Schizosaccharomyces pombe: one gene and its partner. The gene in region 2 interacts genetically with the main gene of each other region. Each region holds a gene or a part of one and is shown on either strand. Other genes may lie near its edges.

Region 1 (5,192 bases), on a different chromosome or scaffold from region 2:
TTGTTAACTTACTAATACAATCTTTAGGCAAGATGACTACTCCTCAATGGATTGACATCGTCAAGACTGGTACTCACAAAGAGTTAGCTCCTTACGACCCCGATTGGTATTATGTCCGCGCTGCTGCCATTGCCCGCCACATCTATCTCCGCAAGCAAGTTGGTGTTGGCCGTCTTTGCAAGGTCTATGGTGGTTCCGTTAACCGTGGCATGCGCCCTTCTCATCACCGTGATGGTTCTGGCAGTGTACAACGCAAAGTTGTTCAAAGCTTGGAGAAAATCGGTGTTCTTGAAAAGTCCGACAACGGTGGCCGCCGTATTTCCCAACAAGGTCAACGTGATTTGGACCGTATTGCCTACTCTCTTTTGGAAGAAGAAAGCGAGTAAGCATTTCTATAGTCTTAATCTAAGTGTTTAAGTGGCTTCTCTTAATGGGTTTATTGAATAAGTAGACGAAAAAAATCGTAATATAAATAAACCTTTTACCTTTAAACTGGCATGTAATCCCTGTAGACTTTTCATTACCGTATCAGACATATTAATATAAAAACACATGGATTATTTATTAATTTCTATTCTCCTAATTTTCTACGAAGTATACAATAAATAGTAATAGGCACGTCGACGATCATGGTATTACCATCTGTCTACTCATTCTCCGAGTAAAATACTCAAGCTCAAATACTTAGTTTTTCCTCATTTTCCATCAACGAGCGTTCAGCAAAGCAAAAGAACTTAAATAAGCTCATTAAATCTTGACTGGTTTAGTCTGTAGACGTTAAATAACATAAATCACATAGATACTTTCTTTCCACAAGTCTAGTAAAAATACTAAACTTAATTGAATTCCCATATCATTAATCCATTTCCCTTTAACTATGCTCAATCTGAAGTGAGCTCTGATTCAACATCACTGGAATAATTTGGCAATGGATCAGTTGGCACCTCAATAGGTAAAATAGTATATACTTTCTCAGCTTCAGAACTAGCGACATCAGAGAGCGGAGTAGAATGAACCTCCTTAGTTATTGAAGCTTCATTTTCCGCATGTAAAACGGAAAATATCGTATCAGAACTAGCATCCAGATTATCAGCGCGACTTACTTCGGAGTAATCCTTCACACTATCAGTCTGGAGGTTAGAACTATCAATTACATGACCATCTTTTTCCAAGCTTGGATCTTTAACATCAATAGGTAAAATTGAATAAATTTTTTCGGCTTCAGACTCTGGAATATCACTAGGCTTAAAGGAATAAGTCTCTTCAGCAACAGATTGTGGAACATCAATAGGTAAAATGGAGTAAACTTTTTCGGCTTCAGATTTTGGAACATCAGAAGGTAAAAAGGAATAAGTTTCTTCAGCAACAGATTTTGGAACATCGATAGGTAAAATGGAGTAAGCTCCTTCGGCCTCAGATGTTGAAACATCAATTGGTAAAATAGAGTAAACGTTGTCAGCTTCGGATGCAGGAATATCGATCGATGGAAAAGTGGAGAGTCCTTCATTAATATTGTCATTGAGCGTGCCAGTGTAACTTATTTCCTGTGTATTGGAAGAAGATGTACTGGTTGCTTGATTTGTTTTAATAGTTTTATCACTATTTAAATCATTGAAGATTTCATCATCCTCATTGAGTAAAGAATCGCGTTTCAAAATTTTACGCTCAGAATCAGCTCCATGGGTTGGAATGCTTCTTTCATATATTTCAAAAGATGCAGTACTGAAATTGACATCATCACAGTCAGCATGCTCATCATTAATTTCAACAATTTTATGGACCTGATCGGAAACGAGATAATCAAAGTTAGGAAGTTCAGCAGAAGATCTATCAACCATTTTGAGTTTATGGGAATTTTTTACAGCAGTTAATCGCTGGACTGCACTAGAAGCAACACTTCCTATCCGTGAAAGGTGTTGTTTAATAACGTTGTCAAGAGTTTCGCCATAACGGTTACCAACCTTTTCGCTTTCTGCAGTAATGTATGAATATACTTTCTGAATCAGTGCATTTAGTTTATTCACTTGCTCAGCATTGTGTTTTATTCCAGAGCAAGCAGCAAGGGCTACCTCAGAAGAGGCAGCAGCTTGTTCGCGAATTGAATTAATGCCCATCTCAATGTTTTCAGCTACGTCCGCACGAATTGAATCACTTAGAGTCCTGAGTTTAATAGCACGTTCGTGAACCCTTAAAATAGAATCTTTAACGTATTCAAATAGATCCATAATTGCCTGATCGTAATTAGATTCTTCGGCTTTTTGAATAAGATTTCCTAAGGAATTCTCAACTGCCAATACACGAAGGTTAGAGATCTCTTCAAATGCTTCAAGTTCCTTTTGACAACTATCGGTAGCCTTACGAAGAAGATCTTCCCAATGCTCGGAAACTGAAAGAGTAAACGTAGAAACCAAGGTTTCATACTCATGCTCAAGGTAATTCATTGCGTTGGAGAAGCAGTCATTTTGACTGTTGAAAGTAACAGAAGAGGGAATGGAATATTCAGTTGCCGGCTCTTCTTCTGCAGCTTCCATTGGTACAGGCGTTTCTACAGACTTTGTTCGCGATAAGATAGTAGGAGAGGATGTGTAATGTGCTGAGCTGGACGCCATGGAAGCAGACATTTCAGACAGTATTTTTGAGCTTGTTGCTGATGCAAAGGCCTCCGATTTTTCCTCGACAACACTCTCATAAATATGCTGAAGTTGGGGTTTAATATGCATGTCCAGAAAGGTACGCAAAAATCTTATAGACGTCTCAATCATTTGAGTGATTGTAGCCTTAGCGGCAGGAAAAAACACATAGCGTAATTGCATGTAACCATCCATTGCCCCTCTCTGAATAATGGGTTTATAATGGTGATATGCCGGTATAGCATGAATCTCCCAAAAATATTGAAGCTTCTCGGCAATGTCCCTCGAGATGGTACGAACTTCTTGTACAACTCTTTGAAAAAACGGAATCAGAACATCAACAATAAAAAAATGAATCCTTTCCTTCCCTGTTGTATAGAGTTCACGTAAATTATCGCCATCCAACACTTTAGAGCCAATTTTCCTGGCTTTTTCGTTGAATGCTTTTATACAAGGTGCGACTTTTTTATCGATTACTTCATTAACCTCATATCGAATATTCTCAACTTTAGGCTTTGCATGCTCATCGTAGTAAGACTTTACATTAACAGTAGCCTGCTTTGCAGCATCTACGATAGGACTGGCTTTAGCAATTTGAGATTGAACAACCGTTCCGTAGGGACGGACGTGATAATCATATATACTTTTCAAAGCAGCACCTTTGTCCTGCTTTTTGGCTTTTCTAGCTAACACGCCATTATCTTGAAGAATAAGGGAAAATAAAAAAGTAATAATAAATGCCCTTGCTATTGCTTTAAAGTATCTTTCGATTTTCATTCTATGAAACTAAAGTGTACAGTTAGAAAGTAAAACTAACTTATTTGAAAAAGGAAAATGGAAACAATAATTAAAAACACAACTTTACTACTGTAGTCAAAGCAGCAATATTTTAGCTGCTAGTTGTGGTCAGCAGATAGGAAGTGGGGAAAGATGTAATAGTCGAGCAACCTATACTAAGAGTACTCAATCAATTATCGTGTACCTTATATACCTATAGAAGCGGGAATGCCAACACCAATTTTATTATTCAAATAAAAATAATCAGTATTTGAGAGTTTACAATTATAATATATGGACGAGTTTCGCATAGACACATTATCGAGATAAATTCAAAAAAAATAAAAGGTAAATTTTACTTAAAAGTGACAACTTAAGAATAGAAATAATTTAATACCAACATGTGATCCACAATTTGTAAACAAACAAGCACTTTACGAGGTTGTCTGTCAAACACCATATTCAATACATTGGTCCTACACCAACTTATACAAGCTTTTTAGCTTTTCTCTATTGACAAGCGCGTACTAATTGTTTTTAAATACTCACTATCAAATTTAAAAATTTAGGTATTGTAATCGTATACAAAGAATGGAAAACTAAAGTTTCAAAGAACAAAAAAATGAGTGAAGAAGTGGTACTTCAGAAGATACAATACTTAAGAGTTACGCCATAATTGGTAAACATTAGGAACAAGACTGATCCAAGCGCCATACACAGTTCCCATAAGACCGCGAACAAATTGCCAAGCCTTTTGAGAATCGGGAATAGGATAGTCAACAGCAGGGGGAATGCCAGTATGGATGGCACTAAATCGATCGTAAGCAATAGCCTTGGAATTGCAGATTCCGCGTAGACCCTCATATCCGGCAAATCTTCCATAACCACTTTTCTTGCAACCACCAAAAGGCATTTGTAGCAAATAAAAGGCACCAAAATCATTAACAGCAACCATACCGGTTTCCAAATTATCAGTGAAATATTGACATAATTGCTTATCCCGGCCAAACACGGATGCCCCCAACCCAAATTCAGTACCGTTAGCAATCTCTAAAGCATGTTCGGGTGATTTTGCTCGAAAAACAAGTGCAATTGGAGCAAAGCACTCTTCTTGGGCAATCTTCATCTCATTAGTAGCATCAACAAGCAAAGTGGGTAAAAAATAATTTCCTTTAGGATACTTAGGATGTTGAAAACGGTGACCACCGTACACTAAACGAGCTCCTTTGCTAACAGCATCCTGTATTAAAGATTCTAAATGATCAAATCGATTATTAGATACCATAGCACCCATATCGACATCATTTTGGGTGTACATGCCAAGTCTCATAGTGGAAATTCTGTTGTATAATTTCGTAATTATGGTGTCGTAAACGCCATCCAAAGCAATGATACGCTCAATACCAATACAATTTTGTCCGGCACTTTGGAAAACACCTCGCATAACTATAGACAAGATCTCTTCTAGTCTGTGGTCGTCAGTTAAAATACAAGGATCTTTTCCTCCTAATTCAAGGCACAAGGGAGTAAGTTGTTTTGCAGCAGAAGCAGCAACCAATTTTGCGATAGGCTGAGAACCAATGAAAGTTATATGCTTAATTCCAGAGTGACTGGTAAGGTGATCAGCAACATCTGGTAGACAAGTAATACATTGAACGAGTTCAGGGGAATGGCCCATTGATTGTAATAAACTACGAACCATTTCACAATATTGATGTGTAGACCACGCTGTAAGCTCGCTTCCCTTCACAACAATAGCGTTTCCAGCAAACAATGCAGAAATGA
Region 2 (7,984 bases):
TCATCCACAGTGAATAAAAAGAAAGTCCAAATAAAGGTTATTTTCGTTATAATACAAAGATGTCGTAAAGAACGACGATCAAAGAAAAACAAGTGAGCAAAAAGGAAACTCTAAAAAAAAGAGAGAGAGAGAGAGAGAAACTCTCCGAGTATGTGTGTGTGTATGTTTGAGTCTCTTTTGTGTATGCGAGAAGAGAAAGACAGCAGGAAAATAAAGAAGAAATAGAAATAGAAATAAAAAGTCAAAACTATTTATTGTAGCTCAATGAAAGCCAGTATCTCACGCTGACCAAAAAAAAAATGAAAAGAGAAAGAGAGCAGAAAAAAAAAAAAAAAAGTTATTGAAAACAAGAAACAATCAAAACCATCTATTTCAAGATGACATGTATGACAAAGAACGCTAGTCAAAAAAAAGGCAATTCATACAAAGAAATAAAAAAAAAAAGAGAGAGAGAAAACAAAGGACTCCTATAATCATAAAGCAAGATTACCAACAATGGACAGAGATGGATAAAGAAAACCAATGGTGGAACAAAGACAAAAAAAAAAGAAAAAGTGGAACAAAACAAAATGCGAATCAAAGAAATTGAACAGAAAATTGAGCAAAAAAAACTTTAGTTCTGAGACAAACAAACAAAAATTTTCATCTTCTTTAACTTTTTCTTTCTTTTTTTTTTCTTTTTTCTTTTATGTTTTTATTTCTTCCATCCATTATTGATGTCTCGTTTGAATCCCTTTCTTTCACCCACCCCTCTCTTCCTGCAGTCTTTTTCGTCATGCCATTACCCCATCTTTTCAGGTAGCATCGACTCAGCCTTGTGACTCCAAGTGTGGGGAAGCGAAGGCGGAGAAAAAAGGGATTAGGAAGGGTGTCGATCATGACGCAATGCCATAACATCTCTGATGCACAACACCGTATTATAGACTGACTAAGCTTGCCGCGGAAATCAATTAATTGTCAAGAAGGCAGAAAAAAGAAAGAAAGAATATAAAACAACAACATAAAGCAAAAATAGAAAAGACATAAAAAAAAGACTGACCCTCTAAAGTCTTGTTTCCTTTTTGTTTTTCTCCTGGACAATTAAAACGACGCTTGTTTTCCGTGCCATACTTGAGACTGCGATACCACGGGATGAACAGCCTCTTCTAAACCAACCTGCCATTTTCTCTTCTTTTCCTTCATCCATCCATCAATCATACTTCGTCCTGCTTACTTGTGTGCTCCATTGCATTATCACCAAACCCTCCTCCTCCTCTTGGCCTGTTTCGTAAACCCACTTAACGGATCTCGCCGAGGTACACACTCACGGAAATATGCTATATGGGTGGTGGAAGTGAAGAGGTTGGCGCCACGATTGCAGTGGATGACGATGCTGGATAACAATGGAGTTGCGGGTGAAAGGACGAGTAAGGCACACTTACATTCAATGTAGCAACCCAATACGTATGACATTTGGCCACAGCAAGGAGATAAATAGAAGGTTGGGCACTAAGAGTGAAAATTCCATTCCCAAAATACAGTACATATATATTTCATCCTTCGTAATAACAAATACCGAATCGTATTCATATCCACCCTTATTGATCATCAGCGAGTCAAGCTAAATTACCCACCCACTGACAATCTAACAACAACAATAACAAAACAAACAATAACCAATTGAGTTGAAAATTGTTATTGACAGTCCAATCCAATCCAAATCCAAATCAATTTGAAATTGAATTTCATCCAATACTAATTGACTAATCGAATTTCTTCAAATCCACCGCAATGGCAAATCGTTTTACTTCTAGTGATCAAACTCAAGAAACCCATGGTCATCATGTTGACAAACACTCCTTCTCCGGTAGACAACGCCATCCTTCGATGGGCGTTCATTCATTCAACGAATACATGAATGAATATCCAGAGGCCGGACCTTTGGTCCAGGAAGAGGAGGATGACATGGAGAGCTCCAGCTACCATGCCACTCAGGAAGATATCGGCGACGATGACTCCAGGTCCGAGTCTACTCGCAACCGTTCCAGTCAACATACTGGCCGTGTTAATTTCTCGTCTCTTGGCGGTCTTGGCAGCATCTTTGGAGGAAAGAAATCACGCTCCAAGAGCGCTAATGGAACACAAAAGAAAAATGCAAACAATAACGAGGAACAACTTGATGAGGAAGAGCAAAACGATCCTTATCTTGATAGGGATATAAGCCTTTTAGGTAGTACTATTTGATTGCTTTTGTTTTTTTTTTCTTACTCCCTTGTAATTTTTATTTTTTGATTAGTCATACCCTGACTGACAATGTTGCAGATTACATTTAATTATGCCATCCATCCCCTTTCACGTTCACTGCCATTCATCCCTCACCATGTTCCCCATACCATTCTTTGAGATTTCGAGACATGATGGCACGACCGTAGTGTTTGTGTATGTATGTGTCTTTGATGAGTTGTTTATGTTGTGTTTATGTTCAAGTTATGAGAAACGAAATACTCGAACCAAATCGAGTTGAGTTCTGTTTAGTATCGTTAAAAAGAGTTTGTTTTCTTTTTTTTTTATCAAATTAGCATTATATTTTCCTTATTTTGCATCTCGCAATGCTTAATGGCAAATATCTTTATACAATCTCCATTTGCGTGCGTATTTATTTGTATCTGATGAGCGTGCGTGTGCTTGCCTGCTTGTCATAATGTACATCCTGTATTACCCAGTTTGAATAGTTCAGTCGTAAATGTAAGAGTGTTATGCTAATATCTTTGTTTTCCTTTTTTCATTAAAAAAAAGAGGTGTAAAAAAAGTCTCATTATTTCTTCGAAAAGTATTCCTTATTGAAGTTTGGAACACAAGTGGTTATTATTATCGTAAAGTTCCTTCTTCCCTAGAAAAATACAAGTTCCCCGATATTTTAATCATTATTCATAAAACAAGCTACAGATTATGAAGAATCTTATCCACGTTATCAAGCATAAACTGAAGAGCCGTACTCTTTTTGGTAGCATGCTGTAAATCAAACCGATTCACCTTATCTCGCATTAAAGTAGGTGCAAATACTGTAGAGACATTTTTCGAGTTCATCAAATTTTTCTCCGCGTGCTTGCATACACGACCCAAATGTGCAATCAAAAATCGAAATACGCTCAAATGTGCAGGATGAAGCGTTTTCATTACTTCCACTACCCGTTCAATTTTTTCCTCTTCCTTTTCGATTTTTTCCGCTTCCAACAACTCCTCGTATTGAGTGCCAGGTATAACTGGTTCCGGTAAGCGATGCAAATATGTTTTCAAAACCGACGTACAGGCAAACAAGTCAGAAGTCAAATGCTCCATTCGGATAGACCCGTTTTCAAATTCGTCGACTAACACTCGGACCTGAGAAGCACTGCCAGATATCCTATAAATACCTTCAACCTCCAATCCATGCGCATCCACGCAAGAAACGCACATAGCAATTACTTGAGGCAAAACCGACCCTTCAATTTTCAATTGATTTTCTAACGATCGTCCAAACATCGTTGGTGAAGGCCCAGGAGGAGGCATCCTCGTTGGCATTTCCGGCATCCATTTACTATTTTCACTTACAGTTTCACTCATTGTTTTCTCATGCTCCGACTCTGCAAACAGCCTTTTTAAACACCGCGAATGGCATGAAATTGAGCAATGAAAGCAGCGGAGTTCAGATCCCCATACGCTCTCCGAGCATATATAACACCTTGAGGGCTTGAATATGGCATTAACATGAAACACATGGTCACATTGAGTACGATCTTCATTTCCTACTACAGGATCGGCAGACTTTGATTTAGTATGCATTGATTTGAACGGGACTTTACGGTTTACATCTCTTGGTTGCAAATGCATACTTCCCTTTTTTCCCTTAATGTCAATTCTCGTAGTCACATTCAAATTTGGTGACAACGGACCAGGTCGACCTGATGACTGCCCAGAGTTGCTACTCACGGCAGTAAGTGGATTAATACTGCTGGTTGTATTTTTGGAAGATGTGGTAATAGTATGCTCCAAATTGGATTGGTTTTCAGGAGGTACTCTATGCTGAATTTGTTTTACCAAATTGTTGTTTAAGTCGGCCAACTCGAGATTTTTGGTATTTAGGTGTACAGATGCTTCAAGCGATTCATTTAAAATTTTTTGTACATTATTGTAATCGTCAAGCAGCTCATTTCTCCTTTCCAAAAGATTGTTTATTTCAGTGCCGTAACTCTCACGAAGCATTGCCATGTAAGCATTGGCGGCAGCCACCAAATCCTGATGTTTCGGATCTTTCAGCGTGGGATCATCTGTCACATCAGCAAACGAAAAAAACTTTTCACAAATTTCAAGTTTAGCCGAACGAACAGTATCCTTATCTTCCGTACGAATAAACTTAGAGTTGTCAAACGTAGAACTTGAGAGCCTTTCGGACAATTTTTTGGTAAGAGCAGTAAGATTTTCCAACTGTTCACGCAATTCTTCAACATCCGAATCTCGCTCTGATTGTGCTGGAGTTGAAGAATGATCGTTTGTCGGTAAATGGTACTCTCCATTAGATCCCAGCGAAGGAACGAGTGTTTGCTGAGAAGTCTCAGAAAGAGAATGCGAATGCCGAAAACTTTTATGGCCCCCGCCATTTGGTTTGGGAGAAAGAACCTGAGGCGGTGAAAGTAGCTGCGCAAAAGATGAAAGGTCAGATGGCTGAGAAGAGGTTTTTTTATGGGTTTGGACATTCGGTGAGCGGGTTCTCGGTGAATGCGTATCACTCGACCTGTAAGAGGGAGAAAAAGGCCGAAAGGGAGAGGTGGCATTGTGAAGAGAACGCATATGTCCATTCATGACAATTGGCTCTGCTCGGTCAGTCAATGACATGGTTTTATAAGGAGAAGCAGAGCCAGCAAAGTCGTCCAGGGCTTCCTCATTAATTGTGGGTTTTAAGCTGTCCGAGGAAGAGCTATCGTTAACAGGAGTAAAAGATTGTTTGTGAAACGTATGGAATCGATTCTTCCAAGTATTTTTGCTTAACGGAAATGTGGCTGTAGGAGACTCAATTTGTTGCTGCTTGTTAACTTTTTGTAACGGAGATATAGAAGGTGAAATAGGAAAGAAAGAATCGTCATACTTCATCGGCGATTCAAAACTCGTAAACGAGGAAAAACTTCGATTTTTGGCACTAGGCAGCAGCGAATCTGCAGAATTAGACGCAAGATTACTATCCTGTCCATCGTTCGGCACATTACCCCCTTCTGCCTGACTCATGTTAGTCGGTGTTTCGCTAACTAAGCGGTCTCTGCTTCCACCAAAAGGTGATAATGGTGGCTTTTGAGGAGACATAATTTCAATGCTTAAAGACTTATTAGATTCCACTGAAGACTTTGTCTCTGTGGGCTTAATCGTGACATCAACCTCAAAATTGTGATAATCAGCGCTCTCGTCTGAAGACCTGGAAGGGTGACGGACTTGTTTACAATCATTACAAAATATAGTCCTATTATCTCTTTTAAAGTTAGAGTCAATTATTTGCTTTCGGCAATCATGGCAACGAAAACACTCTCTGTGATAGGAGTCGTAGCCTGACATTAGGGCATAGTCCTTGATCCTCATACGACACGCTGTACAGGTATGGGCGCAAGAGCTACACACCGGTCGTCCATCAGAGGTTTGCACCAGCATTTGATCACTGTGCTCCAATCCTTTATCGCACTTCGTACAGCAGAAGCAATCCTTATGCCACATATGACCCCCAAACGAAATAGGTGTCTCTCTACGTTGAAATGCCTGTCCGCAGCGAAAGCATACTGTGCTTCCCTTGCTTGATGGAGATTTGGAAATACTTTTTCGAAATATCATCTTATCGTATATATGCTCTTCTTATTTCCTGCTAAACGTTATGAACTTCAATCTAGCGTCATGAATTTGGCTTTGTTGATTTTTATTTTCACAACGATTCCTTTGGGTACCTATTTTCATTCCTCAGCTTCCCATCAAGTAAATGAAAATATTCCCAATTTTATGATTGAAGTTCGAAACAATTGGTAAATGGCTAAGGAATAATTATTACTGCAGTTGTTGGCATCATTGCCCAGTGGAGCGGTGAGAACGGCAGTAGCGAGTCGTTCACTCTAATCCCTTAAAATTTGCATGCGTCGTACACATGGCACTATGGTCTTTGGCTTGCCTTGCCCTAGCCTAGCGAAACACTATGGAAATTATCGCCGTGTTCTACGATATGGTGCGTAAAATTGCCAAAAGTCACATGGTTTATTACGGGAGTTTAGACGAAACGGGTGTTATGAATAGCTATTAAATACGATTATAATATTACAGATAATTAATTTTAATGGGTTTGGCAGCGTTTCCGCTCTCTAGGCTTTTCTTTCCACTCAAAAATGGTGATATTTGTGAAAAGGGAAATTGCCGAAATTAGAAGGAAAAAGGAAAATGAACTGTTTTTCTGGCTTAAATAGCTTTACCTTTAGAAAAAACCCGCTAAAAAATGGTTAAAGATATATACATTCCTGATCAAAAAACACAGAGGACAAAAAAAAAGAAAAAATTTCGGTAGCAACAGGAGTAAACAGAAGGAGAGATGCTTTCTAGAGAAAAAAATTTTGTAGACGTTTGTAGCGTGAACGGTCGGATCGTCAAATAAAGGGACAAGAGAAAATGCTCGTTTCCAAAAAGTGTAGAATTTATAAAATGTGTATCTCAAATAGCGGGGTCGCTATAATTGATTAAGTAACTATTGCTTTTAAGAAGGAAGTAAAGGCTCCTAAAAAAAATTTTTATAGTTGTGGTGCGAATATTGGGACAATTATACGGAAGAAAGCAATCAGTTTTTAACAAAAAAAGTTTCAGAATATTGTGAACACTGGGACTCATCATTATAAATGGCAATAACTGATTGCTATAAAGAGGAAGTATTAAATTTTCTTTCTAGGAAAAAACAAACTTGGCAGAAAATGACGATAAAAAGAAAGGATTGCTATCCAACACAGAGGCAGCGCTAAAAAACAATTTATGTTTTTGTAAAGGCTTCAAGACTGTAGTTCGAAAATGAAGACATCTATTTTAAAGGGAGTGACAACTCCCAAGAAGAGACAGGTTTTGCAAGTTTCCTTTCAGGATCTTCTGTACTATTTGGAAGATTAGACAAATCATAGGATATTAACCCTACATATCCGCTTTCAAGTTCAGATACGACTTCAGCTGCACCCGGGGCATGGGAAACAACTGGATCCTTGTAATAATAACATATAGGTTGAACTTCATCATCACTATCGGAATGTTCGTCAATGTTGTGCAAGCTCTTGGAAGTTATTTTAAGAGTCGTAAACACGTCGGAACCTTTTAACTTGTCTTTCATTCGCTTTTGAGCCAGCAAATTACTAAGTGGTATAGTTTCAAAAAGAGCGTCCTCTGTCGACATCTCATCGGTTAAATGCAGCACATATTTCCAAACAAAGCTTTCGTAGTTTTTGGATTGAATCATGTCGTAGGCTTCGACGCTGTCATCAATTTCCACAAGACTTTCTTCTGCGACACTTTCATCCATGAACATTTGAGCATTATCAGGATACTCAGCCTGATTAACAGATTTCTTAAAACCATTGATGCTAGTCTCATCGGCGGGTACAGAATCTACCTTGCGCTTTACATCATGTTCTCCAAGGTTACCATCGCTTTCATCTGTCGAATGTTCCTTAGAATCAAAAAACATGGTGTTTTCGTTATTTTTTGTCTTCCGTGCTCTGACTCGTCCTAATTTCAGTTTTGATTGTCTTTCATCAGATTCCATTATGTGTATATAATTTTGAAATTTGAGACGTTTGTTTCTTTTGTAAACATTCATCTTTTGTCTAGTGGGTAAATACTTCCAAAATCCGGGTATATTGAATCGGTGAAATCGTAAAAATTTGCCTGACAGAACAACGTCTCTATTCTTGATAATAGGTTTTCTATGAAAGGCATTGTTAGCCTCTAGTTTCCTAAACCTAGACTCCGC

The links. Genes that interact genetically often act in the same process or in processes that back each other up.
Region 1: mutations in rga3 (region 2) and SPOM_SPBC21C3.14C together harm fitness more than expected from each alone (negative genetic interaction), as found in Schizosaccharomyces pombe (one large-scale study listed by BioGRID).

Annotation. Positions count from the first base shown.
Region 1 is NC_003423.3:3,818,503-3,823,694, forward strand, and holds SPOM_SPBC21C3.14C (uncharacterized protein), read right to left. Parts: upstream 3,565-5,192; 5' UTR 3,408-3,564; coding exon 882-3,407; 3' UTR 536-881; downstream 1-535. Other genes in the region: rps1901 (40S ribosomal protein eS19), read left to right, coding at 28-386; SPOM_SPBC21C3.15C (aldehyde dehydrogenase), read right to left, coding at 4,066-5,192.
Region 2 is NC_003424.3:5,123,010-5,130,993, forward strand, and holds rga3 (Rho-type GTPase-activating protein Rga3), read right to left. Parts: upstream 6,025-7,984; 5' UTR 5,830-6,024; coding exon 2,920-5,829; 3' UTR 2,224-2,919; coding exon of another isoform or gene 1,771-2,223; 3' UTR 1,605-1,770; coding exon of another isoform or gene 1,383-1,604; 3' UTR 319-1,382; downstream 1-318. Other genes in the region: SPOM_SPAC29A4.22 (uncharacterized protein), read left to right, coding at 1,383-1,604; protein mug108, read left to right, coding at 1,771-2,223; RNA polymerase I upstream activation factor complex subunit Rrn5, read right to left, coding at 7,046-7,984. UniProt on the Schizosaccharomyces pombe protein: GTPase-activating protein for Rho-type proteins.